2 linked regions of the Lonchura striata genome follow. The protein of the gene in region 1 purifies or fractionates together with the protein of each later gene. This does not show direct contact. Links are inferred from orthologs where the notes say so. Each region holds a gene or a part of one and is shown on either strand. Other genes may lie near its edges.

The links.
Region 2: the proteins of CARM1 (region 1) and SMARCC1 purify together in Homo sapiens (affinity purification with western blotting; 3 studies listed by BioGRID and IntAct, with this or other methods). This does not show direct contact. The link is inferred for Lonchura striata from reciprocal best matches to the Homo sapiens genes CARM1 and SMARCC1.

Annotation. Positions count from the first base shown.
Region 1 is NC_134623.1:1,181,569-1,196,484, forward strand, and holds the start of CARM1 (histone-arginine methyltransferase CARM1), read left to right. Parts: upstream 1-7,849; 5' UTR 7,850-7,859; coding exon 7,860-8,004; intron 8,005-10,038; coding exon 10,039-10,164; intron 10,165-10,255; coding exon 10,256-10,362; intron 10,363-11,823; coding exon 11,824-11,928; intron 11,929-13,549; coding exon 13,550-13,660; intron 13,661-14,692; coding exon 14,693-14,870; intron 14,871-14,916. UniProt on the Homo sapiens protein: Methylates (mono- and asymmetric dimethylation) the guanidino nitrogens of arginyl residues in several proteins involved in DNA packaging, transcription regulation, pre-mRNA splicing, and mRNA stability.
Region 2 is NC_134603.1:156,472,369-156,487,012, forward strand, and holds the start of SMARCC1 (SWI/SNF complex subunit SMARCC1), read left to right. Parts: upstream 1-7,595; 5' UTR 7,596-7,619; coding exon 7,620-7,841; intron 7,842-14,069; coding exon 14,070-14,189; intron 14,190-14,644. UniProt on the Homo sapiens protein: Involved in transcriptional activation and repression of select genes by chromatin remodeling (alteration of DNA-nucleosome topology).

The sequences.
Region 1 (14,916 bases):
CCTGTTTAATTACCCACGGAGAATTCCTCATCTGGGAGTCCGAGTGGAAGCGGGAGATCAGAGAGGTGTTACCTGACCTCTGGGCCAATGCAGATAGCTCTAGGGATGAAGATGGGGCTGTAATATCGCTAGACCACTTGTGCGGGGAGGGAGATTGGAAAATGGGGACCAAGCAGGCGGAAAAAATCCCCAGAGAGGCGCTGCAAGTCAGCACTAGGGCAGCAGAAAAGGCGTTTTTTAAGTTAAGACCCAGCGGTACGGTTATTAACTTCTTGTCCCTAAAGCAGGAATCCCTAGAACCTTTTGTCGCGTTCGTGGATCGCTTGCATCACGCGATGGAGGCTCAGGTCCCGGACGAGAGGCTGCGAGAGGGGATGCTTGCCACAGTTGCGAGGCAGAACGCTAACGACGCGTGCCGGCAAGCAATCCTCAGTCTGCCCCTGGACCCTGAGCCTACCCTTCAAAGCATGCTACAAGTCTGTGCGAAGAAGGTGACAGTTCCTGCTAAAGACATTCCAGAGACTCCTAAACCACCAACAAAGAGAGTAGCCTTCGTTGAAGCCGTGACACCGCCAGCCACCCCTTCTCCAGATCGCCGCCCTACAGGAGCACCCCCGAGGGGACAACAGCACCATCAGGCCTGCAATCTATGTAGGCAGAAGGGACATTGGGCTTCCCAATGCCCGCTGAGGGACGAGTTTTTTAGGTTTAAACAACAGCGACAAGAAAAGAGTGCCCCCAACTCGGGGGGAAAACAAAAAAACTGAGTCATCAGCGCAGTCCCTCCCTGCGCGAGGACATAAATATGGTGGGTTCTATAACATCAGAGGAGGGGAGGGACGACTACCTGCAATGCCCACCTGAGGACATTTCACTGGACTTGACACACCAGATTATGGCTGACAAACCAGCCTATATGAGAGAAGATGTGGATTTCATTCCCACTGCTTGGCTGGGTCGAGGCCCGAACCAGCCCAAGCCGATACTTAACATCGTATCTGGTTTCTCCCCATATAGGTTGGCCCTGACTGAAGCTCTGCACCTAAGGGACAGCGACTGGCACTCCATCGCTGTCGACACAGAGGACCCAGGAACCTGGAGGAACCTCCACAGTAAGTACATCGTTCTTGGGGACACAAAATTCACGCCTCTCGAAGTCACTATTGCACCATCCCTGACATCCAGGAACACCGAGCGATTAGTGGTGTGGCTGCACTGCCCCCATCCTCCAGTCTTCCTTCCCAAGGGCCAAATCATCGCCCAAGCCATTCCAGCATCTGGGCCTCCGGCACACCCTGAGGATCTATGGAAGAAATCAGCGAAGAAGAGCTACCAGGTGTGCCAGGCCCAGGTCATAGGGAAGGAAAGACCAAAGCTCTCCTACTATATGCGGAAGGATGGGGAGTACAAACACCTAAGCGGTCTCCTAGATACAGGAGCAGACGTAACAGTCATTCCCGAACGGGATTGGCCGTCACGCTGGGAATTGCAAAACGTGGCAGGGAAAATTCAAAGTGTAGGGGGTTCTCAATTGGCAAAGCAATCAAAAAACATCGTAAAATTTGAGGGGCCGAACGGACAATCGGCCTATTTACGCCCGTTCGTATTAGATTACACAGAACCCTTATGGGGGAGAGACCTGATGGCCCAGTGGGGGGTCACAATTAACATCCCGACCCCCCAGGTTTTTCGGGCAACAGTCACTGAAGAGCGTCCTACCCGAAAACTTAATTGGCTCACAGATACACCAGTGTGGGTAGAGCAGTGGCCGCTCAATAAACAGAAATTAAAAGCGCTTCGGGAGCTCGTGAAGGAGCAACTTGCCAAAGGGAATATCCAGGAAACAACATCCCCCTGGAATTCCCCTGTCTTTGTCCTAAAAAAACCTGGCAAAGACGAGTGGCGCCTCCTTCATGACCTTCGCGCCATCAACAATGTAATAGAAGACATGGGTCCTCTCCAGCCAGGGATGCCGTCCCCCACGATGTTACCAGAAAATTGGGAATTAGCTGTCATTGACATCAAAAATTGTTTTTTCCAAATTCCCCTACACCCTGATGACGCACCACGGTTCGCCTTCTCGGTTCCTTCCATCAACCGAGAAGCCCCAATGGAGAGATACCACTGGAAAGTTCTTCCCCAAGGCATGAAAGTCAGCCCAAGCATTTGCCAGTGGTACGTCTCTTCATTGCTGTCCCCTGTGCGTGCAGCCACCGAGGGCGTGATCATCCAGCACTATATGGATGATATTCTTATTTGTGCCCCCAACAGCGATCTACTTACACACGCGCTTGAACTGACAACCAGTGCGTTGGTTGCTGTAGGGTTCGAGCTGCGAGAGGATAAGATTCAAAGAATGCCACCTTGGAAGTACCTGGGTTTGGAGATAAACAAGCGGACCATTGTTCCGCAGAAATTGGCCATAAAAAATTCAATTCGGACTCTAGCCGACGTGCAGCAGCTGTGTGGGTCTTTAAACTGGGTGAGACCCTGGTTAGGTATTAACAACGAAGACCTAGCCCCTCTTTTCAATTTATTGAAAGGGGGGGAAGAGCCTAGTTCTCCCAGGGAACTCACTCCAGAGGCCAAAGCCACTTTGCAGAAGGTTCAGGAGGCAATGTCTGCCAGGCAGGCCCATAGGTGTGATCCGGGCCTGCCCTTCAAATTCATCATATTGGGCAGACTGCCACACCTCCACAGTGTCATCTTCCAATGGGCAGACACCCTAGGAAAGGGCAAGGATAAGGACAAAAGGGACCCACTCTCCATCATAGAGTGGGTATTCCTGAGTCATTCACGATCCAAAAGGTTGACACGGCCACAAGAGCTGGTGGCAGAGCTAATCCGCAAAGCGAGAACGCGGATTCGGGAGCTGGCGGGGTGTGACTTTGATCACATCCACATTCCTTTGAAATTAGAATCGGGCCAATTCACAAAGGCAATGTTAGAACACCTGCTGCAAGAGAATGAATCATTGCAGTTTGCACTGGACAGCTACACCGGAAAAATTTCTGTTTTGAGACCGGCCCACAAAATTTTCAATTCCGAAATCCAATTCACTCTGTCAACAAAACAAATTCAGAGCAAAAAACCCTTAAAGGCTCTAACAGTTTTTACGGACGCGTCCGGAGGGTCCCACAAGTCAGTAGTGACTTGGAAAGATCCTCAAACTCAGCAGTGGGAGGCAGATGTTGTTGAAGTAGAAGGATCCCCTCAAGTAGCTGAGTTGGCCGCAGTCGTTAGAGCTTTTGAGCGGTTCTCTGAACCTTTTAATTTGGTAACTGATTCGGCCTATGTAGCAGGTGTAGTGTCTAGAGCACAGGATGCAATCCTGCAAGGTGTCTCCAACGATGCCCTTAACAGGTTGCTCTCTAAGCTGATAAGGCTAGTCTCCCACCGAGAGCAACCGTTTTATGTGATGCATATCAGGTCACACACCGACCTGCCGGGGTTCTTGGCCGAGGGCAATTGGCGTGCCGATTCCCTCGCTGCCGCCCCCGCACAGCTGGCGCCGCTCCCGGACAAGTTCCAGCAAGCCAAAATAAGCCACCAGCTTTACCATCAAAATGCGCCTGGTCTGGTCCGGCAGTTCCATCTAACCCGGGACCAGGCCAAGGCCATTGTGGCCACATGCCCGTCCTGTAAGTCGCTCCCACTACCATCAGTGAGCGCAGGGGCTAACCCTAGGGGTCTGAAGTCCTGTGAGGTGTGGCAGATGGACGTTACTCATATCCCCTCCTTCGGGAGGATGAAGTACGTCCATGTCTCCGTAGACACCTTCTCTGGAGCAGTTTTCGCCTCTGCCCACACAGGGGAGAAGGCCAAGGAAGTAGAGAAACACCTGATACAAGCCTTCTCCATGCTAGGCGTCCCAAAACAGATAAAAACAGACAATGCCCCCGGGTACACATCCAAGGAATTCGCAGGCTTCCTGCAGCAATGGGGAATAGAACATAAAACTGGCATCGCCTATTCCCCGACAGGTCAAGCCGTGGTAGAGAGGACTCATCAAAGCATCAAAAGGATGCTTAAACAACAACAGTCGTCAGCTAAAAATGAGTCCCCCCAGGTTCAGTTAGCGCGGGCCCTTTTTACCATCAATTTCTTAAACTGTTCTTTCGAGTGCCTCAACCCCCCCATCGCGAGGCACTTTAATTCCTACGAGCAGAGCAAGGTCAGGGAAAAGCCGCCAGTTCTCATTAAAAACCCTGAGACCTGGCGACAGGAGGGACCCTATGACTTGGTCACCTGGGGACGGGGGTACGCTTGCGTATCCACGCCCTCAGGCCTGAGATGGGTCCCTTCCAAATTCGTCAGACCATATGTCCCTAAGACCCAGAAGAGAAAACCGGACAGTCCTCAAGTTGGGTACGCCGCCCTCCGACGGCGGAAAAAGTCCCCCTCACCTGATCCCCCCTCTTCCCTCCCTGGCTCCGGAAATTCTCTGTTCCCCTTTGAGTTAGACCTCCCCTACCTCGACTATTAATTTCAGTTGCTTTCTAAAGAAACAGGACTTTTGCTGCTGCTGGGACTCATTGTGTTTCTTACAAGCTTTAACATAGTGATGAACTGAAACCCTTGAACAAAGAAGGGTTTCAAAAAGAAGAATTTCCAGAAAAAGGAAACATCTAGTTTCAAAATGAGCCCAGTGACTGTGAAGACCCCGTTTAAAGACTTACTTTATCCTCTTCACCTTTCTTTCTTTTTAAACAAAAAAAGGAGGAGATGTGGAGTTGCGTTATGTATATGTTTTATTATCCCTGTATTATGTATTGGTTTATTCCTTTGTACCCCCGTGTGCAACTTGGTTTATCCCCAGTTTTCCCGCCTTGTCCGCCCTTCCCGCCTTCCCAGTATCTATCCATCACCCTGAAAGAGGCATTTTACCCCCCCCGGGTGCCTTGTCTATCACTCGGTGCCCCTTCCCATCCATCCAGAAGCTTCTACTCAGGGCACCGGGTGATTGGGCGAGGACCTGGGGCTCCCCCCATATCCTTCCCCCATTGGACCCCACCATATCCCCCCATCCCGGAGCCACCCCCTATCCCTATCCCCATTGGTCGTTGGATACCCCTCCCTTACAGTTTATAAGCCAGTGCAAGCACCTTGTGCTTGTTCTTGTTGGCTGGCACCGTTCTAGGATATTTAGCCCCGTTGGGCTACAATAAACTCGGACTTAGCCCCCAGCAGGATCCGCTCTTCATTTACCACCGCGAGGCTTGCTAGCGCTGCCCGGAACCCACAAAGGCACTCTCCAAACCCCAGCTGGGAGCGGCGGAGGGTGCCTCCATCGCCCGCCCTCGCCCCACAAGAGCTAGCCGGGGCTGAGACAAAGGGAACCGGGGCGGGAGCGCGGCATAAAATAATAGCGAGAATAATGGGAATAAAAGTGATAGGAAGAGGGGGAGTGATGGCGGGGATAGCAGGGATAAGGAGAGTAAAAAATATAGGAATAGTGGTGATAATAATAGCGGGAATAAAGAGAATAAGGGGAATAAAAGTGGTGGGACTAGCGGGAATGATAGCGGGAATAATGGGAATAATGGGAATAAAAGTGATAGGAATAGTGGGAATGATAGTGGGAATAATGGCAATAAAAAAGGGATAGTGGGGATGATAGCAATAATAATGGTAGTACGGAACCGGGAATTCCGGGGGTTCAGAACCGGGAATTCCGGGAGTTCAGAACTGGGAATTCTAGGGGTTCAGAACCGCGAATTCCGAGGGTTTAGAACCGGGAATTCCAAGGGTTTAGAACTGGGAATTCCGAGGGTTCAGAACCGGGAAATTCGGGGGTCCAGAACCGGGAAATTCGGGGGTCCAGAACCGGGAATTCCGGGGGTTTAGAACCGGGAATTTTGGGGGTTTAGAACCGGGAATTCCGGGGGTTTAGAACCGGGAATTTTGGGGGTTCAAAACCGGGGATTCCAAGGGTTTAGAACCGGGAATTTTGGGGGTTCAGAACCGGGAATTCCCGGTAAGTCCGGACCCCCCGTGCCCTCCAAACCCACCGCAGCCCCCTCCAGCCCACGCGTGTCCCCCCAAAATCCACCCCCGCGTCCCTCCCGCTGTCCCGGTGAGGCGTCCCGGGGGTCCCGGTTGCCCCTCCTAGTTCCCGGTGAGGACACGGAGCCGGGAGCGCCTCCCGGCGTCCCCACGGATCGAGGCTGGCCCTGGATCCGGTTACCGGGAGCCCTCCGGGAGGATCCCGCCGCCTCCGGTGCTGCCGGTGCTCCACCGGACTCGATGGTGCCAATAAAGGTGTTCGTCTCCAGCGCCGCCACCTTCCCGGTGTCCCGGTACTGGTGCCCCATTCCTGGTGTCCCGTTCCATTCCCCATTCCCGCTGTCCTGTCCCGCTGTCCCGTTCCCATTCCCGGTGCCCATTCCCGCTGTCCCGTTCCCGGTGCCCCGTTCCCGTTACCACTGTCCCATTCCCAGTGTCCCGCTGTCCCGTTCTCGGTGCCCCGTTCCCATTCCCGGTGTCCCGTTCCCGGTGCCCCGTTCCCAGTGCCCCGTTCCAATTCCCGGTATCCCGTTCCCATTCCCTGTTCCCCGTTCCCGTTCCCGGTGTCCCGTTCCCATTCCCGGTGTCCCGGTGTCCCGTTGCCCCGTTCCCATTCCCGTTGCCCCGTTCCCGGTGCCCCGTTCCCATTCCCGGTATCCCGTTCCCATTCCCGGTGCCCCGTTCCCGGTGCCCCGTTCCCGGTGCCCCGTTCCAATTCCCGGTATCCCGTTCCCATTCCCCGTACACCGTTCCCATTCCCGGTGTCCCGTTCCCATTCCCGGTGCCCATTCCCGCTGCCCCGTTCCCGTTCCCGCTGTCCCATTCCCGGTGCCCCGTTCCTGTTCCCGGTGCCCCGTTCCCATTCCCGGTATCCCGTTCCCATTCCCGGTGCCCCGTTCCCGGTGCCCCGTTCCAATTCCCGGTATCCCGTTCCCATTCCCGGTACACCGTTCCCATTCCCGATGCCCATTCCCGCAGCCCCGTTCCCATTCCCGGTGTCCCGTTGCCCTCCCGCCCGCCAGGGGGCGCACCAGCCCCGCCCGCTGCCTTTTTTGTGGGCGTGTCCCGGTCGGTGTGGGCGTGTCCCGGGTCGGTGTGGGCGTGTTTCGGTCGGTGTGGGCGTGTCCCGGTTGGCGGTGGGCGTGTCCCGGCCGCTGTGGGCGTGTCCCGGCCGCTGTGGGCGTGTCCCGGCCGCTGTGGGCGTGTCCCGGCCGGTGTGGGCGTGTCCCGGCCGCTGTGGGCGTGTCCCGGGTGGCGGTGGGCGTGTCCCGGCCGGTGTGGGCGTGTCCCGGGTGCCGGTGGGCGTGTCCCGGGTCAGTGTGGGCGTGTCCCGGCCGCTGTGGGCGTGTCCCGGGTCAGTGTGGGCGTGTCCCGGCCGGTGTGGGCGTGTCCCGGCCACTGTGGGCGTGTCCCGGGTCAGTGTGGGCGTGTCCCGGGTCAGTGTGAGCGTGTCCCGGCCGGTGTGGGCGTGTCCCGGGTGGCGCTGGGCGTGTCCCGGTCGCTGTGGGCGTGTCCCGGGTCAGTGTGGGCGTGTCCCGGTCGCTGTGGGCGTGTCCCGGGTCAGTGTGGGCGTGTCCCGGGTGGCGGTGGGCGTGTCCCGGCAGCTGTGGGCGTGCCCAGGGTCGGTGTGGGCGTGTCCCGGGTGGCGGTGGGCGTGTTCCGGCCGCTGTGGGCGTGTCCCGGCCGGTGTGGGCGTGTCCCGGTCAGTGTGGGCGTGTCCCGGCCGCTGTGGGCGTGTCCCGGCCGCTGTGGGCGTGTCCCGGCCGCTGTGGGCGTGTCCCGGCCGCTGTGGGCGTGTCCCGGCCGGGTCGGGGGGCGTGGCCCCGCGTGGGCGGGGCGCGGCGCGGTCCAAGATGGCCGCGGTGTCGGTGTTCCCCGGCGTGCGGCTCCTCACGGTCGGGGACGCGAACGGGGAGATCCAGCGGCACCAGGAGCAGCAGCCGCTGCGCCTCGAGGTCCGCACCGGCCCCGACAGCGCCGCCATCGCCCTCTACGGCCGTGAGTGCGCCCGGGAGCGCGGCCCGAGCGGGGCGGGCGAAGGCGTGAGGGGCTCTGAGGGGATGGGGGAGGGGCCCTGAGGAGGCCCCGAGGGGTCTCCGGGGACGGGGGGGATGGGGGGGGTCGGGCAGGAGCTGTGGGGAGCTGGGGGGGGTCCCTGGGGGGTCCGTGGGGATGGGGGGGTCGGTGGGGAGGGGGCGCGTGGGTCTGGGGGGTGGGTTGGGGGCTGGGGGGGTTTGGGGGATTTGGGGCTCGGGGGGGCTGGGCTGGTTTGGGGAGGGGTCCGGAGAAGGGTTTTGGGGGGGCTTTAAGTGTCCGTCAGCTCGGGGGGGCTCGGGGGCAGCTCGGGCTGGGGGGGGGTCCCGGTTCCCCCGTGCCCCCCGCCCGTGTCCCCGTTTCTGTCCCCGTCCCCGTTCCCGTTCCCGTCCCCCGGCGTTTCCCGGAGGCTGCGGAAAGTTGATTCCCATCCCCCCCGCTCCTGCCCGCTTTTACCCGAAACGGCCCCGATTCCGTGACCTTCCCGGTACCCCCGCCCCGGTTCCGGGGCCACGGGAGGCGGCGGCGGCACCGGCTCCGCTCTTTGTCTCGGCGCACGGTCCCGGCTCTTCCCCTGCTTTGGGGCTTTTTTTAAACTCCTCTTTATTTATTTTCTCCCCCCGAACTCGGCGCCCGCCGGGATTCCCGCGGCTACCGGGGGGTGGTGGGGAGCGACCCCCGGCCCCCTCCCCTCGGTGCTAACGGGGCGCTCGTTAACCGCCGGGAATAATTAATGAACCGGCGGGAATAATGAGCCGGCGGGAATAATTAACGCGCGGCTTCGCCGGCTTTGACACCGATGCTGAGGGGGTGGGGAGGGAAACTGAGGCACGGCCGCCGAGCCCGCGGCTCCTCCCGGTGCCGGGAGAACCGGAGCTGCCCCCGGAGCCTGCGGCCGCCGTTCCGGAGCTGCCTTTGTGTGCCGGGCCGGGGGGCTCCGGGTGGTCCGGGCGGAGCATCTGCCGGTCCTTTCATCGCCCACAAAGAGCCGCGGCCGCCGGGGCTCCCGCTCCCGGTGCTCCCGGTGGAAACCCGCCGCTCCCGGTCCCTCCCGCAACTTCCCGCGGCGTGGGAAGGACCCCCGGGAGGTGTGGGGAGGGGAGGGGGGGAAACCGGGATTTTTATTTTATTTTTTTGGGAAGCGGCTGGGTCGGTTTTTCCGGCGTGAGAGCGGCCGGGAGCTCCGGGGGTGCCTCCCGGGATGGCTCCCGGTCCCCGGGCCGGTTCCGGGGGAACGGGGCTGACTCCCGGGATGGCTCCCGGGGCACTTCCCAACTCCTGGGGCGATCCCAGCCCCTCCATCCTCTTCCCTGACCCCAAATCCTCATTTCTTTCGGGAATTCCGGCTGCCCCCCCCCAACACCGGGCCGTGCTTTAGGAGCCCCCCCCCCCCGCGCTGTAATTAGAGGTTAATTAGGTTAATTGTGCTTTATCCCGCTCTGTTGGGAGGGTTCGGAACCGGGACCGGGCGGGGGCCTGGCCTGGCGCTCACCTCGCTTTTCTCTCTGTCCCCTCCCCGTTTCCTTTCATTCCACCCCATTTTCCCTCCGTGCCCGCCCCGTTCTCCCTTCCCCCTCCCCATTCCCGGTGCTCCCCTTCCCCTCATTCCTGCTTTTCCCCTTCCATTCCCTGTTTTTCCCCCCCATTCCTGTTTTCCCCCCAATTCCCTATTTTTCCCTCTCCCCATTTTTCCCACCCATTCCCATTTTTCCCCTCATTCCTGTTTTTTCCACCCAATTCCCTCTTTCTTCCCCCTCTATTCTCATTCCCCCCCTCTTTTTTCCCCTTACATTCTCATTTTTCCCCGTTTTTCCCCCCATTCCCCATTTCCCCCCATTCCCATTTCTGCCCCCCAATTCCCTGTTTCTTCACTCCATTCCCCATTTTCCCCTCTCCATTCCTGTTTTTTCCCCCTTTTTCCCCCCACAATCCCCCTTTTCCCCCCTCCATTCCCATTTCCCCCCCATTTTTCCCCCAAATCCCCTTTTTTTCCCCCAGACGAGGATGTCTGCGTGTTCAAGTGCTCCGTGTCCCGCGAGACGGAGTGCAGCCGGGTGGGGAAGCAATCCTTCATCATCACCCTGGGCTGCAACAGCGTGCTGCTGCAATTCGGGACCCCCACCGGTGCGCAGCCCCCCTGCATCCCCCCCAGCTCCCCGGGGATCCCCCAATAACCCCCAACCCCCCCCTTTGGGTTGTTTTGTATTTTTCCCAGATTTCTGCTCTTTTTACAACATCCTGAAGAACTGCCGGGGACACAACACGGAGCGCTCGGTGTTCAGCGAGCGCACCGAGGAGTCCTCGGCCGTGCAGTACTTCCAGGTGGGAATTCCCGGGGCTGGGGGGGGATTCTGGCTGGGTTTGGGGAGAATCTGGTTGGGTTTGGGGAGATCTGGTTGGGTTTGGGGAGATCTGGTTGGGTTTGGGGAGATCTGGTTGGGTTTGGGGAGAATCTGGTTGGGTTTGGGGAGAATCTGGTTGGGTTTGGGGAGAATCTGGCCGGGTTTTGGGGAGATTTGGCTGGGTTTGGGGAGATCTGGCTGGGTTTGGGGAGATCTGGCTGGGTTTGGGGAGATCTGGCTGGGTCTGGGGAGAATCTGGTTGGGTCTGGGGAGATCTGGTTGGGTTTTGGGGAGATCTGGCTGGGTCTGGGGAGATCTGGTTGGGTTTTGGGGAGATCTGGCTGGGTCTGGGGAGAATCTGGCTGGGTCTGGGGAGATCTGGCTGGGTCTGGGGAGATCTGGCTGGGTCTGGGGAGATCTGGCCGAGTTTTGGGGGCACACCTGGCCGGGTTTTGGGGGCACACCTGGCCGGGTTTTGGGGAGAATCTGTCTGGGTTTGGGGAGAATCTGGCCGGGTTTTGGGGAGATTTGGCTGGGTTTGGGGAGATCTGGCTGGATTTTGGAGAGATCTGGCTGGGTTTGGGGAGAATCTGGTTGGGTTTTGGGGAGAATCTGGCCGGGTTTTGGGGAGATCTGGCTGGGTTTGGGGAGAATCTGGCTGGGTTTTTGGGAGAATCTGGCTGGGTTTTGTGGGGAATACCTGGCTGTGTTTTGGGGAGATCTGGCTGGGTTTGGGGAGATCTGGCTGCTTTTTTGGGGATACGTGGCCGGGTTTTGGGGGGAATCTGGCCAGGTTTTGGGGGGAGAATCTGGCCGGGTTTTGGGGGGGGAATCTGGCTGGGTTTGGGGATACCTGGTTGGATTTTGGGGAAATCTGGCTGGGTTTGGAGAGATCTGTCTGCTTTTTTGGGGATACGTGGCCGGGTTTTGGGGGGAGTCTGGCCGGGTTTTGGGGATAGCTGGCTTTGTTTTGGGGAGAATCTGGCCGGGTTTTGTGGGGAGTCTGGCCGGGATTTGGAGGGAATCTGGCTTTGTTTTGGGGAGAATCTGGCCGGGTTTTGGGGGGAGTCTGGCCGGGTTTTGGAGGGAATCTGGCTGGGTTTTGGGGATAGCTGGCTTTGTTTTGGGGGGAATCTGGCCGGGTTTTGGGGATAGCTGGCTTTGTTTTGGGGGGAATCTGGCCGGGTTTTGGGGGGAATCTGGCTGTGTTTTGGGCATAGCTGGCTTTGTTTTGGGGAGAATCTGGCCGGGTTTTGTGGGGAGTCTGGCCGGGTTTTGGGGGGAGTCTGGCTTTGTTTTGGGGAGAATCTGGCCGGGTTTTGGAGGGAATCTGGCTGTGTTTTGGGGATACCTGGCTTTGTTTTGGGGGGAATCTGGCCGGGTTTTGGGGGGAGCACCCAGCCAGGATCCCGGGCTGACGGGCTGTCCGTGTGTCTGGCAGTTCTACGGGTACCTGTCGCAGCAGCAGAACATGATGCAGGACTACGTGCGCACGGGGACGTACCAGCGGGCGATCCTGCAGAACCACAGCGACTTCAAGGACAAGGTCTGCCATTTTTCGGGGGGTTCAGCTCGTTTTGGGGGGAACCCGGTGTGTTTTGGGGGGTCTGACTGGGTTTTTGTCGAGACTGGCTTAAGGAGGGAAGCCTGGCTTGGGTTTTGGGGAGATCTGGTTCCGTTTTTGGGGAGATCTGGCTGGGTTTTAGGGGGAATACCTGGCTGGGTTTTGGGGGAATCTGGCTGGATTTTAGGGGGAATCTGTCTGCTTTTTTGAGGAATCTGGCTGGGTTTTGGGCAGGATCCAGCTTGGATTCAGGTGGGAATCCCGTCTCACCTTTTGGAGAACTTGCCCTGTTTTTTTGGGAAGCCTTGCTCGCTTTTGGGACAAACCAGCCAGATTTTGGGGTTTGGCTCCAGCTCCAGCAGCACAGCTTTGTCCCAGAGCTGGAAATTGGGTTGTTTTTCCCATCCTTGGGGAGCACAGCTGGCCAGGGGTGTGGGCCAGCCCCACTGCTGCCGTTCCCACGCGCGTTAAAATGGGATCAAAAATGGGATCGAGCACAGATCAAAACCAGGATCAATATGGGATAAATGTGGGATAAACCACAGGATCAAAATCAGGATCAAACACAGATCAAAACTGGGATCAAAAAAAGGGGTTCAAATGCAGGATCAAATATGGGATAAAACACAGGATTAAATGTGGGTCAAATGTGGCATTCAAACACAGGATCAAATGTGGATCAAAAATGGGATCAAATGCAGATCAAAACTGGGATCGAACACGGGATCAAAAATGGGATCAAATGCAGGATCAAATATGGCATAAAGCACAGGGTCAAATGCAGGATCAAATATGGGATCATACATCGAACACGGGATCAAATATGGGGTCAAACACAGGATTAAACATGGGATCAAACACAGGGTCAAATGTGGGATTAAATGCAGGATCAAACACAGACTCAAACATGGGATCAAACAGGGGATTAAATGCAGGATCAAACATGGGATCAAACACAAGATCAAACACGGGATTAAATGCAGGATCAAACACATGACCAAACACAGGATCAAATGTAGGATCAAACATGGGATTAAAATGCAGGATCAAAGACAGGATCAAACACGGAATCAAACACGGGATTAAATGCAGGATCAAGCACAGGATCAAACATGGGATTAAACACGGGATTAAATGCAGGATCAAACACAGAATGAAACACGGAACAAACACAGGATCAAACACGGGATTAAATGTGGGATCAAACACAGGGTCAAACACGGAACAAACACAGGATCAAACACAGGATTAAATGCAGGATCAAAGGTTTAAATGCAGGATCAAACACCAGCCCAAACACGGGATCAAACACGTGATTAAATGCAGGATCAAACACAGGGTCAAACATGGGATCAAACACGGGATCAAACATGGAACAAACACAGGATCAAACACAGAATCAAACACGGAACAAACACAGGATCAAATGTAAGATTAAATGCAGGATCAAACACGGGATTAAATGCAGGATCAAACACAGGATCAAACACCAGCCCAAACGCGGGCTCGGCGCGGTTTTGCCTGCCCTGATCCCCGGGGATCCGCTGGGATCCGGGCCTGGGGGGCTCCTGGAGGATCCCAGCTGCCCCCAAACCTTTCCCAGATCGTGCTGGACGTGGGCTGCGGCTCGGGGATCCTCTCCTTCTTCGCGGCGCAGGCCGGGGCGCGCAAGATCTACGCCGTGGAGGCCAGCACCATGGCCCAGCACGCCGAGGTGAGCCCCACCCCGACAGCAAACGGGTTTAAAATCACGGGGATTTGGGGTTCGAAGGAAAATTCAACTTATTTTCCCTGGGAAAATACCCAGGGAAAGCGTAGGCCTTGTACTTGCTACTGCACCTGTGTAGCCAGTAGATGATAAATGCTGTAATTGTTAGATGTGATGATTGTTTAGTAATTAAATCTAATTGCTGTTCAATCGTAAGAATAATCATGAGAAACTGTGGTCTAAGGAAGATCACGAGAAACTCGTGCTCGCATAAAGCCAATGTATACAATAGAACAATATAAGTTTAATAATTAATATGGAAGTTAAATGTAAGAATAATCATGAGAAACTGTGGTCAGGGGCTTGAGAAAGATCACGAGAAACTCGTGCTTGAATAAAGCCGATGTATACAATAGAACAATATAAATTTAATAATTAATATGTAAGTTAAAACAATAGAAGTTTAATAATTAATATGTAAGTTATATAGGGATAGAATGTAAAATACATTCAGCTCAAAAGCCGTGTCAGAGTCAGATTTGGGTTTGTACCCCTGATTCCCAGAGCTCTCAATAAAAGCACCTGCAGGGAGTCATATCCCCATGATTATTTGTGTTTCTGAACACTGACAACCCCATCCCCTTTTCCCCTCCTTTTCCTCTCCTTTCTTCCTTCTTTTCCCCTCCTTTCTTCCTTCTTTTCTCCTCCTTTCTTCCTTCTTTTCTCCTCCTTTCTTCCTTCTTTTCCCCTCCTTTCTTCTCTCTTTCCCCCTCCTTTCTTCTCTCTTTCCCCCTCCTTTCTTCCTTCTTTTCCCCTCCTTTCTTCTCTTTTTTCCCCTCCTTTCTTCCTTCTTTCCCCCTTCTTTCTTTTCCCCTCCTTTCTTCCTTCTTTTCCCCTTCCTTCTTCTCTTTTTTCCCCTCCTTTCTCCTCTTTTTTCCCCTCCTTTCTTCTTTTTTCCCCTCCTTTCTCCTCTTTTTTTCCCCTCCTTTCTCCTCTTTTTCCCCCTCCTTTCTTCCTCCTTTTCCCCTCCTTTCCCAGGTGCTGGTGAAGAGCAACAACCTGACGGAGCGGATCGTGGTGATCCCGGGCAAGGTGGAGGAGGTGTCCCTGCCCGAGCAGGTGGACATCATCATCTCCGAGCCCATGGGCTACATGCTCTTCAACGAGCGCATGCTCGAGAGCTACCTGCACGCCAAGAAGTACCTGAAGCCCAGTGGTGAGCGCCGCTGGGGGGGTCCCCGGGGGTCCCCGGGAGCCGTGGG
Region 2 (14,644 bases), on another chromosome or scaffold:
TTTTTTCTTTAAATCAGAAAGAGAAATCTTCAATAAGGTAAAAAATATTGACTAATACAATGGCACAGCTCAGTTTTACAAAGCCTGGGCTCCATGAGAAGAGGTTCAAGATGAATAAAGTAATCAAATAAAACCCCTTAGGAAAAAGGAAAAAAAAAACTAAGAAAAAGGGGAAAAAAAAAAAACAACCCAACTTTTTAGAAGAGTTCAACACTCAAAAAAGTCATATTACACCAAGTTTGCCTTCTCATGTATTCCCTTTTTAGAACCTCTGAATTAGCTGCTGATTTGTCTTTGTAAGTTCTTTTACTAAAAAACAAACCCAACAAGTGGAGACACAAACCCAGATCCTGAATCGGCACCAGATGACAAAAAAAACCCACCTTTTTTTTTCTTTTTTGAAATACATTAAGTTATTCTGGCACTTGGACCACAAATTTTAAGAGATTGGTCCACTAAAATCGGGAAAAATCATTCAAAACTGATTGTTCATTCAAAAATCGTCCAAAGATCACCCAGACCCCTAAAAAGGAAAACAACTCATTCCATTTAAGGGAATTAATCCTGTGTTAATCTTGTGACAGCACGTTGCACAGTAAAAACTATTGTTTTTACTGTTTTACCATAATTTTTACTTTTTATTCAGGAATAAACTGAGGTGGGTTTGGAAGCAAAAGCTTCAGGGAGGACTGGAAGGAAAGGGAGGCTGGAAAGCCTCGGAAATACAGGCAGGGGGCTGGAAAAGCTGGGAAAAAGCTTGGAAACACAGACAGGGGGTTGGAAAAGCTGGGAAAATCTTGGAGAAACATGGGCAGGGGGCTGGAAAAGCTGGGAAAACCTCAAAAACACACAGGAAGGGGCTGGAAAAGTTGGGGAAATATTGGAAACACAGACAGGCGGTTGGAAAACCTGGGAAAACCTTGGAAACACACAGGCAGGGGGCTGGAAAAGCTGGAAAAAAACTTGGAAATACAGGCAGGGGGCTGGATAAGTTGGGAAAACCTCAGAAACACACAGGAAGAGCCTGAAAAAGTTGGGGAAATTATGGAAGCATCCAGGCAGGGGGCTGGAAAAGCTGGGGAAACCTTGGAAACACACAGACAGGGTGCTGGAAAAGTTGGGGAAATCATGGAAACACACAGGAAGGGGCTGGAAAAGTCGGGGAAATCTTGGAAACACAGGAAGGGGGCTGGAAAAGCTGGGGAAATCTTGGAAACACACAGAAAGGGGCTGGAAAAGTTGGGGAAATCCTGGAAACACACAGGAAGGGGCTGGAAAAGCTGGGGAAATCTTGGAAACACACAGACAGGAGACTGGAAAAGCTGGGGGAAGAGGCTGACAGGCAGTCCCAGTGTGCAGGGACAGTCAGGGGTGAGGAGGGCTGGTGGTTTGTCACCAAAAATGATATAAAAAATTATCTTGTGGGCACAGAAAGAGCGGTGAAGACTCAATTTATTAAAAAATTCCAGAGGTCGCCGATTCCAGGTATCTTTATTTTGCAGAGAGCAGCGTTAGCCAGCACAGGCAGGGTCTCCAGAGCCATCTCCCAGCTTTGGCAGCTCCTGGATGAGCTGGGCTGGACCTGCCCCTCCAGCCAAGCCTGTGCAGGGGCAGCAGCTCCTTAAGGAGCCACGGGTCATTCAGGAATTCCTTCATCCCCAGGGCTGGAGCATCCCGAGTCCCAAACCCAGCCTGGCTGTGACAAACCACCAGCCCTCACCAGGAAATTCCGTCTCTCCACCCAACTCCAACCCCACTGACAGGATTTGGTGGAGGAGAGGGGCTTTGTTCCCAGCTGAAGGCACTCTGTACACAATTCCTGCCCCGGGCTGGGAAGAATTCTGGGATTTTTAGGGTAAATCCAGCAGCCCCAGTGCTGGTGGCTCAGAGCAGGGCAGTGACAGGAGTGGTGGGGTCACTGCTGCGTGTCCTGAGTGCCAGGGGAAAGGATGAATTCCCTGGGATGGAGGCAGGCTCCCTCTGCCTCAGCCAGAGCGGGAATATTTTAGTCCATTCTATCCACTCTCTTTAAGACCAAGTAACAGAGCTCAGGAAAGATCCACAAGTTAAAGCAGAAAATGGTGACTGGAGGGATTTCTGAGGACAAAATATGATTGAAAGGAAGGCTGGCAAAGCAATGGCAGGGAAAAGAGCCATGGTGACAGTGACAGGTATTACAGGATCAAATCCCAAGGATAAAGAGCTCGTGGAGTAGGTACTGAGGGATACAGGAATATTTAGGAGGACAAAATTAAAAGGGAAAAAACCTGTGCTTGAAGCTGAACAGCAAGCAAGTGTCCAATGTCTCTGGATAACACTGCAGGGCTCCTCTGCTTCCCTGAAATCCTGTCCTGTCCCTCCTGGGCCAGCTCTGCTGCCACACTGAGCTCCTTCCTCACCCAGTGAACTCCTCCTCCTCCTCAGCCACCTGCTCCAGCTTCCCCCTCCGAGCTCAGGACAATCCCCAGTGCAGCCCCAGGCTGTGCCAGCTCTTACCTTTGAGGGAATTCAGCGAGAACATCTCCATCCCAGCGGGAAGGGTGGGTTCCTGGGACAGCAGGAGGGAGCACAAAGAAACTGCAAGTTAGAATTGGTAGTTCCTTTAAAATGTTTCAGGTGCTTCTGCTTTGGCTCAGTGGTGAAAATGAGGGGTTTTTAAAAGCCTTTTAGGCCAAGGTGAAGTAGATTGTTGCCATTATTCCCTTTAAATGAAAACCAAAAAAACCAGGAGAAGAAAGAGAACTGTAATTTTGATAATGTTCTTTACTGAAACTGTGTTAAACTTCCTATTTATTTTCTTACTAAAATAACTTTCACTCAGTTAAGAAAACCAACTTTGTTTTGGGGTGTTTTATCTGTCATGCCAAGTGTTAAATACACTGTAGGGATTCTTGGAAACAGTAACAAGGCTTTTCTATAAACTCAGGTCAGATGGGTGAGGAGTGAAGGTCATTATTTACACACAAAGTTAGTTTGGAGCTGAACTTGCATGATCCTGGTGGATCCCTTCCAAGGCAGGATATTCTGGGATTCTATGGACATTGACTGTCCCCATCAATGACTTCCTGAGCATGCAATTAATAGCCTGCAATTATCATTCCAATTATTCACTTCTGCTTTCAGTAAGACAAAATTACTTCAGTAGCAAAAAAAAAAAAAGGCTTCAAATAAACCCAGCCCATTTTCTGGCCACATCTCTGGATGTGACACCTTGTCCATGGTCCATGGGTTCCTCCCCACGGACACACGGATACCAACCTGCCCTGGCTGCCAGGGCCACACCTGGCCTTTTCCAAGGATGAAATCAATAAAACCAGATTAATTGACTTGGCAAGAATTCAACCCCACGTGTGCTGTGGTGATTCTCAGAGGGGAATGTCCCTGGTGTGATAAATCACTGCAGGGAACAAAGTCGGGGAGGTTTTTTGTGGTTCTGGAGCCAGATTGCCAAGGCTGGAGCCTGTGTCCCCTTCCATGGGGATCACCCCAGCCTGGCTTAAACTGCCCTAAAGCCAAGGGGATTTTGATGAGTTGGGTGAGTCCAGTATTGCTCTGACAGAAAGGAGCCAATCCCTGAATGCTCCAGAAGTGCTGCAGAGAGGAAACCAGGAGTGGGACAGGGAATGCTGCAGGGAATGCATCTCCCAGGGCACTGGCCACATCCCCCTGCACATTCTGACCAAAGAGGGGCAGCTGTTTTTGGGGGTACCCCAGGGAATCATCCAGGGAATCCCTCCCTCAGCTCCTGGGACAGGATGGGCAGGTAAACTGCAGCGTTCCCTAGTGGGAATTCAGGGAGCAGGAACAAGGAATGCCCCAGCCATGCTGGGGTGGGGAAAAGGGTTCTTCCAAAAATGCCTTTGAGCTGAGAGAGGGCAGGGATGGATGGGAGATTGGGAAGCAATTGCTGGCTGGGAGGGTGGGGAGGGGCTGGGATGTAATTCCCAGAGAAGCTGTGGGTGTTCCCTGCATCCCTGAAGTGTCCAAGACCAAGCTGGACATTGGGAACAGCCTGACCACGGCCTTGCTGGATGATCCTTACACTCTCTTCCAACCCAAAAGGGTAAATGCAATACAAAGTTGATGAGAGTGGTCTTTTCTGCTCAAGAACAAAGAAATAAAAAATGGAGAACCCTCCGGGGATGAGGCTCCAAGGTGAACAACTGAGATCCCCTTGGATAAGCAAGATTCCAACCCAGCTGTTGGTAGGATCCTGGCTGCAGATCCCAGCTGGGCTGGGAGCCTTACTGGGAACCAGTAAGAATCAGACTGGGTGGGAGTGGGGCAGGACAGGGAGGAGAATAAAGGATCTGCTGAATCTGGACAGCAGGAGCGCAACCTGGGAATCACTTTTAGCACATCCAGCAGCCTGGGGGAAATCCCAGGGTTTGCTCCTGCAGATCCTAATCCCAAATAATAAGTGTCCAACTGTGGCAGCTGCTCCAGCCCGCAGGGAAACACAGAGATGGAAAGGGATACTGCAAGACTCAAAATGGATTTTGTCTGATGACAGGAGAGATGTGGGAGCTCCGAGGACACTGGATTTGTGAAGAAATGGCCTGGACAGGCAATGGCACAGCTGGAATGAGAATCCACAGGAGTGTGGAGCCCTGTGCCTCACACCCAGCAAACTCCAGAGCCCCGAGTGGCACAAGAAACACTAAAAGTTTGTTAGGAACAGACTCAGTGCTCCTGCTGCGAAGGCAAAGAGTGAAACCAGGCAAAGCGGCACGGAACATTGTCAGATAAAATCCCAAAGGATGGGAAGGAATTGCTGGGGTCCCTTGATCCACTGGAAAACAACTACATGAGGAAAAACCACATCGCCGAGAGAGACGCAGGGAAAATCACAGCAATTCCGATTATTGGCTGCTGGGATAGTCCAGCGGTGTTGGAAGGGGCAGAGCCCCGAGTGCTTTGTGAGGAGAACAAAGGAGAAATCCTGCTGTCGGCACATCCAGCCCAAGGATTGCCTGCCCGGGCTCCGGGCAGCGCCAGCCCGCCGCTCGCAGCCGTGATTTATCCTGTACTTTCCGTGCTTTGGGCCGAAGGAGCGGCGGAGGGCTGCAGGAAACCTTTCCCTACAGGAATCCTTTCCTCCCGGCCAGCCCCGCAGGACCCTCGCTGCTGAGCGGCGGCAAGGACGCGCTGCCGGTGGCACCGGGCTCCGAGCGGCCCCGGGCGCCGGGGCCAAACCGCTGACCCGGAGCGACCCTTCCCGCGGCCCCGGGGCTCCACGGGGCCGGCGGGGACGAGCCGCAGGCGGGCGCGGAGAGGCGGGAGCGGGAAGGGCAGCGGCAGAGCAGCTCCGAGCGGAGCGGAGCGGAGCCTGCCCCGGGCAGGGACGGAGCTCCGGGCACAGCCGCGCTCCGCGGCCGCTTCCCGGGGCTCCCCCCGCCGACCCCTCGCCCAGGGCCCGCGGGGAGCGGTGCCCCGGAGCCTCCCCGAGCATCCCCGAGGCCTCCCGAGCATCCCCGGGGCCGCCGAGCATCCCCGGTGCCGCCGAGCATCCCCGCCCGCGCCGCCCCGCCCGCACAGGCCGCGGCCCCGCACGGCCCTCCCCGCCTCAGCCCGCGCTGCTCGGCGCCATCCCCCGCTCGTCCCCCGCCTCCCGCCGCCGTGCCGCCCCCGCGGCCCCCCCGGTTCTCCGCAGGGGTCGCGGTCCGACCCCCGCCCGCCCAGCACCGACCTCCGCACCGCGACTGCCGCCGCCGGGCCGCCCCTCGGGACTACAGCTCCCGGCAGCACCCGCGCGCGCTTCCGGCGCGGCGCACTTCACTTCCGCTCTCCCCGGAACTGAGGCGGCCCGCGCGTTCCCCGCGGCCGGCGGCGCCGCGGCGCGATGCCCCTCGTGGGCGCGGGGCGGGGTCTGTCCCCATGGCAACGGCACAGCCAATGGGCGGTGAGGGATGTCCCCATGGCAACGGCAGAGCCAATGGGCGGCGAGGGTTGTTCCCATGGCAACGGCAGAGCCAATGGGCGGCGCGGCCTCTGGGGGCGCTGTAGCCTCGGCCCCGCCGTGGGACCCGTTCGGTCTGAGGCCCGATCCCGGTCCCGGTCCCGGTCCTGGTCCCGATCCCGGTCTGAGGCCCGATCCCGATCCCGATCCCGGTCCCGATCCCGGCCCCGATCCCGATTCCGATCCTGATCCCGGGGATGGACCCGGCCAGCCCCGATCCCGGCACCGGTCACGATCCCGGCCCCAATCCCGATCCCGGCCCTGATCCCAATCCTGGTGATGGACCCGGCCGGCCCCGGCCCTGATCCCGATCCCAGCCCCGATCCCGGCCCCAATCCCGATCCCGATTCCGGCCCTGATCCCAATCCCGGGGATGGACCGTGCCAGCCCCGATCCTGGCCCCAATCCCGATCCCAGCTCCAATCCCGGCCCCGGCCCCGATTCCGATCCCGGGGATGGACCTGGCCAGCCCTGATCCCAGCCCCAATCCTAATCCTAGCCCCGATCCCAATCCCGGTCCCGATCCTGGCCCCGATCCTGATCCCAGCCCCGATCCCAATCCCAGCCCCGATCCTGGCCCCGGCCCTGGCCCCAGTCCTGATCCCGATCCCGATCCCGGCCCCAATCCCGATCCCAGCCCCGATCCCGGCCCTGATCCTGATCCCGGCCCCGATCCCGATCCTGGGGAAGGACCAGCCCCGATCCCGATCCCAACCGGGGAGCTGCTCAGAGCACCCGTGGCTGCCCCTGGATCCCCGGCAGTGTCCCAGGCCAGTGTCCCATTGGGGCTGGAGCAGCCGGGACAGGGGAAGGGAGCGAGTGCTCCGTGTCCCCGCCACGGCAGGGCTGCGATGGGATGAAATTTTATGGCTCTCCCAAGCCAGACCCTCTGGAATCAGGGATGCGATGGGATGAGATTTTATGGCTCTCCCAAGACAGACCCTCTGGAATTGTTGGCTGGGCTCATTGTGCTGCCTTTTGAGAATGGCAGTTCTGAAATGGTGAAGTTCAGATTGCAGGATGTTTGCTGGGTTTATTGTTCCCTGTATCTCCAGAGGTTTCCTTTCCTGCAGGTGTTTATTTCTGCTTTGGAGTGTTCAGGGACGAGGAACATTTACAAACTACTGTAAATGCAAGGGACAGTTTTATACTGGGGATTGTGATTTTAATGAAGGACCTCTTGGTGCTCTATTTAATAATGTTGGAACTAAAATATGTATTTTTAAATGGTTTATCATGGTTTTGGTTTGTTAAATTTTTTCTCTGTTATGTTCAATTCACAAATAAAACATTACTAGACACTCAAAACTAAGTGGTTTCTATAAAGGAAAATTGGGGGGAATTGCTTCATAATGACCCGTTCCAGGGCTCTGGTTGTGGAAAGATAAAGGCACCCAAACAGTGAAGACTTGGTGCAGACACCTGCAGGTAATTATGTCAGCACCCAATTTACTCCTTAATTGGGGCTCGGGGTCTCCAGGCGGGGCCTGAGCAGACCAGAGAGGTACCGAGGGCACGGACGGGGAGTTCGGGGCCCGGAGCACCCCCTTGCCGGTGCCGAGGGCGCGCTCCCGTTCCGACCCCCCGAGCGCGTCCCCGAGCGCGCTCCCGCTCCGGCGGCGGGCGCGCTGCCGGGGTGGGCGGGGCGCGGGCGCGGCGCATGCGCGGCGCGGGGCGCGCGGGGACAATGGCGGCGGCGGCGCTGGCGGCGGGCGGAGGCCCCGGGAGCGGCCCCGCGGCGGCCCCGGCGGGCGGGCCCGGCCCCGCGCTGGCCGCGGCGCGCCGCAAGGACGGCGGCCCTGCCGGCAAGTTCTGGGAGAGCCCCGACACCGTGTCCCAGCTCGACTCGGTCCGCGTGTGGCTGGGGAAGCACTACAAGAAGGTGCGGCCCGGCGGGGGCGGAGGGCACCGGGCGGGCGGCGGACGGGACGGGGGGGGGCCGCAGCTTTGCTCCGCTCTTTGTGAGCCGCGGCGGGCGCGGGGCCGGCTCGGCGGCAGCGCCGGGCACATTTCCGTTCCCTCGGCGCCGGCCGGTGCCCGGGGCCGCGCTTGGGGCAGCCCCGCTGGCCCCGGGACGTCCCCGCTGCCCGCGGGGCCCGGCCGGTGCCCGCTCGCCCCGGCAGCGACTTTCCTGCGCGGGCAGGTCCCGGCCCCGCCGGGTTTCGCTTCAGCCGCGCCCCGGCGGTGCCGGCAGTGCTGGGCAAAGGGAGGAAACCGCAGCGGGAGCTTTGGGAGCCGCGCTGAACCCCGCGCCGTGCCCCGGGCTCGCTTGCGGCAGCGTCGTTGCTGCCCGCGGGCTCCTCTTCCTCCTCGCACGCCCCGGCTGCTTCGCTTTCTTTATGCGTTTTAATTTTAAAGCGTGCTGACTTTCTAACTCCATTTCGGTCCGCAGCCGGGGGGGATGGCCGGCGTGGCTTGGCAGCGGCTCCGCCGCGCGGCGGTGCCCGGGGAAGCCGCGCGGCCCCGGCCCGCCTCCTCGCCGCCGTTCCCCGGGTTGGGGCAGCCCCGCTGTCACCGCCCCTGGAGCAGCCCCGGCTGGCGCTTGGCTTCTTTGTGAGGCGGAGAATCCGAGAAGGGCGATCCGACCTGGGAATCCGAGCTGCAGCGCCCTGGGGTGGGAGCCGCCCGGGCTCGGGTGTGTTTTTCCAGTCCTTCCAGCTGGGCTCGGGGCGTGGGGCGCCGTTTGCAGCGGCCGCTCGAGCTCTTTGTGTTGACGGGGAAATGTTACGGAATACTCGTGCAGTTTGGCTTGTTCCGCTTGCGGTTCTGTGCTGTCCCACGCCCTGGAGCAGCTGTGGTTTCGCCTTTCCCTGCCCTGGCCGAGCAGCCCCGGGATGATCCCGGGAAATCGCTGCTCCGGGAAGGGCCCAGGTGCCCTGCTGAGCACGGAAAGGATTTGCTGTGGCTCGAAATCCCCGGCCAGGCTGGCTCTGTGCTGGCTCTGTGTGGTGCAGCAATGGGAGCCAAGGGAAAGCCCCTCCTTTCAAACTGGTTATCTAAAATAGGTATTTATTTCTCGCGAATCTGAAAGGTAATTAGAGTTGGGCTAAGGAGACTTTACAGGGTGAGTGAGTTTTGGAATGTTGCTGTGACGATCCTTTTAAAAAATGAAAAGTAATTTTGGTTTGAGGAAACAAGAAAACTGATACTAGTGCTCAAGGATCAAGCCTTAACACTCCAGGAGGGAAGGGCTGGCTCCCTTTTGGATGTGCTGGAAATGGACTCTGGTTCAACTTGTTCTGTTTTCATCCTGCTGTAGGTGCGTGGCTCCTCCCAGAGAAGTACGTGGTGATTTTAACTGGCTTTTGTCCAGTCTATACTCTTAAAAATAGATGTTTGTACATCTCAGTGGTGAAGCTGTCAGCAGCAGTTGGTGTGTCCAGCTCCAGGGACACTGGGGACCAGCTGGAGATAATCCCAGAGCACCACCGAGCTCAGTCAGGGATCCAGAGGTCCTGAGGGGCAGGGAGGGTTGGAGAGTTGCATTTACAGAGCTGCTCATTTTGTCTCTGGATTAGACAAGACTTAAATATTGAAGAGTTCTCTGTGTTTCTAGAGTACAACAGCTGTGGAGGAGCTCTCTGTATCTTCAGAGTACAATTTAGAGCAAAGGAGGTTTCAGTAGTAGTGTGGAAGACTCACACTGGACCTTGAAAAACTCATTGACAGGCACCAAAGACAATGATAGAAAATTAAATTATTGGTATTGTACTGAGCAGATTTATTCCAGGCTCCCTCCTGCTCCCAGTTTGTGTGTGGAGTGTCTGGAAGTGGGTTTGTGGTGTTCTGTGCATGAAGGGATGCAGGAGGTGGCCAGCCCCATCCCAGGCAGTACGGGTGCAGTAGGGATGGTGGAGCCTTGCTTCCCTGAGAGCTGGGAATGGGCTCATGCCGTGGGTTTGGAGTCCTGGGGCATCTGAGAGACTTACATGGAACAAAGTCACAGATCCTGGAATGGTTTGGGTGGGAAGGGGCCTTAAAGCCCATCCAATTCCACCCCCTGCCATGGCAGGGACACCTTCCACTGTCCCAGGCTGCTCCCAGCCCTGTCCATGACACTGCCAGGGATCCAGGGGCAGCCACAGCTGCTCTGGGCACCCTGTGCCAGGGCCTGCCCACCCTCCCGGGCAGGAATTCCTTCCCAATATCCCACCCATCCCTGCCTTCTGGCAGTGGGAAGCCATTCCCTGTGTCCTGTCCCTCGATCCCTTGTTCAAAGTAATTTGGAAAGGCTGTAATGGACACCTTGATGTCACCATAGTAACTTAGAAATTCACAGTGTAGAAGTAAACTGGGCAATTCTCTTTTTATTATCTCAATGCTCATTTATCTAGGACATTGTGCATTGTTCAGGCAGTTCCTTTCTCAATAATCCCTCATATTAAAATGGGCTGTCCCAAAGCAGTTATTTGTTGTCTCTGAAAACTCTTTCCAAGGTAGTTTGGGAGGGGTTTTAGCTGGGATCCAGGGAGGGTTCTGTGTGTGCAGCTCAGATCCAGGGAGGGTCTGTGTGTGCAGCTGGGATCCAGGGAGGGTCTGTGTGTGCAGCTCAGATCCAGGGAAGGTTCTGTGCATGCAGCTGGGATCCAGGGAGGGTCTGTGTGTGCAGCTGGGGTCCAGGGAGGTTCTGTGTGTGCAGCTCAGATCCAGGGAAGGTTCTGTGTGTGCAGCTGGGATCCAGGGAGGTTCTGTGTGTGCAGCTGGGATCCAGGGAGGGTCTGTGTGTGCAGCTGGGGTCCAGGGAGGTTCTGTGTGTGCAGCTGGGATCCAGGGAGGGTTTTGTGTCTGCAGCTGGGATCCAGGGAAGGTTCTGTGTCTGCAGCTGGGATCCAGGGAGGGTCTGTGTGTGCAGCTCAGATCCAGGGAAGGTTCTGTGTCTGCAGCTGGGATCCAGGGAGGTTCTGTGTGTGCAGCTCAGATCCAGGGAGGGTCTGTGTGTGCAGCTGGGATCCAGGGAGGTTCTGTGTGTGCAGCTGGGGTCCAGGGAGGTTCTGTGTGTGCAGCTGGGATCCAGGGAGGGTCTGTGTGTGCAGCTGGGATCCAGGGAGGTTCTGTGCGTGCAGCTGGGATCCAGGGAGGTTCTGTGTGTGCAGCTCAGATCCAGGGAGGTTCTGTGTGTGCAGCTCAGATCCAGGGAGGTTTTGTGTGTGCAGCTGGGATCCAGGGAGGTTCTGTGTGTGCAGCTGGGGTCCAGGGAGGGTCTGTGTGTGCAGCTGGGGTCCAGGGAGGGTCTGTGTGTGCAGCTGGGATCCAGGGAGGTTCTGTGTGTGCAGCTGGGGTCCAGGGAGGTTCTGTGTGTGCAGCTGGGATCCAGGGAGGTTCTGTGTGTGCAGCTGGGATCCAGGGAGGGTTTTGTGTGTGCAGCTCAGATCCAGGGAGGTTCTGTGTGTGCAGCTGGGATCCAGGGAAGGTTCTGTGTGTGCAGCTGGGGTCCAGGGAGGGTCTGTGTGTGCAGCTCAGATCCAGGGAGGGTTCTGTGTGTGCAGCTGGGATCCAGGGAGGGTTCTGTGTGTGCAGCTGGGATCCAGGGAGGTTCTGTGTGTGCAGCTGGGATCCAGGGAGGGTCTGTGTGTGCAGCTGGGGTCCAGGGAGGGTTCTGTGTGTGCAGCTGGGATCCAGGGAGGGTTCTGTGTGTGCAGCTGGGGTCCAGGGAGGTTCTGTCTGCAGCTCCTCTGTGCTCTCACCTTTGCAAAGGAACAAAGGTTTATCCCAAATCAAAGCATTTCAGTGTGGGGTTTCCCTTGGCTCTCATGTGTGCCCTGAGCTGAAATGTGCTTTGTTTGGGGAAGGTTTGTGCACAGAGCCACCTGCAGAGCTGGTGTGGGTGTTTGAGGTCAGTGCCCACATCACAGCTGCCTGTGGATCTGTCCCCCACCAGTGACAAATGCTGCCAGGGCAGCTGCAGTGCAGCTCTGGCTGCAGTCGTTCCCTCTGCTGCTGCTCACACTCTGCTTTCTGACCACACATTTTCTGCTTAAAGACAGGGGGTGGTTTGTGTTTCTAATTATTGTGGAAAGGTTGGAGAACTCTGCTGTGTCAGTGGGGCTTTGGCATTTCAGCATGGGAGCAAAATCCTCTTATGGAACAGAGCATCATTCTGTCCTCTGGAATTCACTGCTTAGAAACCTTTATTTGCTGCAGGATCATTTTGTGGGCATGAGGGGAGAACCTGGAGACCTGTTGGACTTGATGCCTCTGTGATCCCTCAAAGCCACTGTGAATTGATTGGGAAATTGGCTGCTGTGTTTTACTGCTTAAAGATCCATTTGTGCTGCTCATTAGGATGCAGAAATGATGGAGGGGAGTCTTGGGCTTCTTTTTGAAGGGTTTTCCCCCTTATTGTTCAGGGAACCTCAGGCAAGGTAATGGGCTTCTCATTAAAAGGATCTGCAGGATAGTGGCAGTGCAAAGGAGGATGAGAAGGTGTTGTGCTCCTTTTTAGCTTCCAGCTGTCAGTGCCTCCTGCAAGAGGTAAAAATGGGAGCTGCAAGAAAAGAAATTTATTGTCTGAAAAAGTTCACATGACTAAGGATAGGCTTTGCAAGGTGCATTCTCATGTAATTTTCTTTTTTCTCTGAAGGAAAATATCTGGAAAAGAGAAGTAGAATAAATCAGTACAAGGATGCAAATTCTTCTGGATTTGTTTTTTGAAGGAGATTCATAATATCCCAGATTGGTTTGGGTTGGAAGGGATTTTAAAAATCATCCAGTTCCACCCCTGCCAGGCAGCGACACCTTCCACTGTCCCAGGCTGCTCCCAGCCTGGCCTTGGGCACTGCCAGGGATCCAGGGGCACCCACAGCAGCTCTGGGCACCCTGTGCCAGGGCCTGCCCACCCTTCCAGCCAGGAATTCCTAACTCCCAATCTCCCATCCATCCCTGCCTCTGGCAGTGGGAAGCTGTTCCCCCTTGTCCTGTCCCTCCAGCCCTTGTCCAAAGTCCTGTGCAGAGCCAGGAGTTGGACTCGGTGATCTTTGTGGATCCTTTCCAACTCAGGATATTCTGTGATTTTGATATAATTAAAACATTAATTCCAGGGGGAGGGAAGAGGGCAAATTGAAATGCAGCTTTGAAATGTTAGCTTTCACTTCTTTCCAGGCTCGTGTTTCTAGTTCAGGATTTATACACAGGACAGGACACTGGGGAGCCCCATGGGAATTTGTGTCCTCTGAGTTGGGAAGATTTAATTTCTCAGATATGTGCCTGCTCCTGAGAAAGTGCTGGGGGAAGTCACATCTCAGGGTGGTCAGACACTGAAATGATAATTGTTTCCATTCACTGTGTCTTTGTGGTGTCTTTGGCTTTGAGCTGATGCTTTGCAAAGCTCAGTTAGGTTTGACTGTTATTTAGCACCACAGCTTTAAAACTTTGAGAGTTCTGGGTCTCAAAAGCTTTTTTTTTTTTTAAGGGGTTTTAGAAGAATCTGATTTGAGGGAAGAGGAAAAGCTGAGAGACTGGGGTAGCTCAAATTGCTCCATGTTCTTCCTGGAAAAGTGATGTTTGTTCTCTTGGAAGTCACCTGGCACAGCGAGGAGGTGACATCCAGTGAGTGAATACTGGATATTAGGGTGACAAAAACTCAGCACCGTGGGAGGGATTTAATATTCCATGCTGTGATTTTACATTCACCACGTAAATGTAATTTTATAGAACCTTGGGAGCTGCTGAGACTGTCCCAAAACATCGCAGGCACCTTTGTGTGGCTCAGCTTTTCCCTCTGTGCAGGACATCGTATTTATATCAAAGGGCTGCTCTGAGGATTAATTAGGAGTTGATTACAGCAGGAGGCTGTGGAGTTACTGCAGAAAGCTCTGAGTGTGGGGGCAGCACAAGCCTGTTCCTTTATTAGGAGCTGAGATCATCCTGAGTGGTTAATCCTTGTCTGGAACCAGCCTGAGGAGCTGGGCATCAGCCACAGGTGAGTGCTGGATGTTCAGCCTGAAGCTTGGGAAATGTTTTGGCTTGGTGCTTCTCCTGTGCAAACCCCCCTGCAGCCCTTCCCAGCCACGCAGGGATCCCAAAATGCTGGAACTCTGCAAGTGCAGGAGGGTAGCCAGCCTTCACTCCCAGCTTCCCTGTCCCCAACAAACGTGTGCTTTTTGTCTTGCAGTACGTTCAGGCAGATGCTCCTACCAATAAAACGTTGGCTGGGCTGGTGGTGCAGCTGCTGCAATTCCAGGAAGATGCCTTTGGAAAACATGTCACCAATCCTGCCTTCACAAAGCTTCCTGTGAGTATTGGGACTCTCACTCTGCTGGCACAGCTCAATGTCCTGCTCCTGGGACATCCCTGCTCCAGCCCAGGCTCCTCCTGGTGCAGCCTCTGGAAGGGCTGGAGTAGCACACCTCTCCTTAGTGCAGATTTTCAGTGTAATACAGCTTATTCCCTGTGTATTAGAAATGATTTCTGGAATGCTGTGAGAAGATTTTCATTTCTGCTGAAACTCAGTGTAATTAAAGTCAAATCTGGACTGGTGCATCCTAAACGGAGTGAGTAAAATGCACTCTCCAGGGCAAACAAGCTCCCATTAGGTGTTCTGGTTGATGAAGCTCCAGACTTGTGAAGTTGCCACGGCTGAGAAAGGACTTTGCCACGTTCTGCAGCAGCAGTGAGCTGCTGGCCCTGGGATGTTTCTCCAGTCCCTCGGGACACAGGTAGCCAGGAACAATGTCAGCTCTGTGAGGG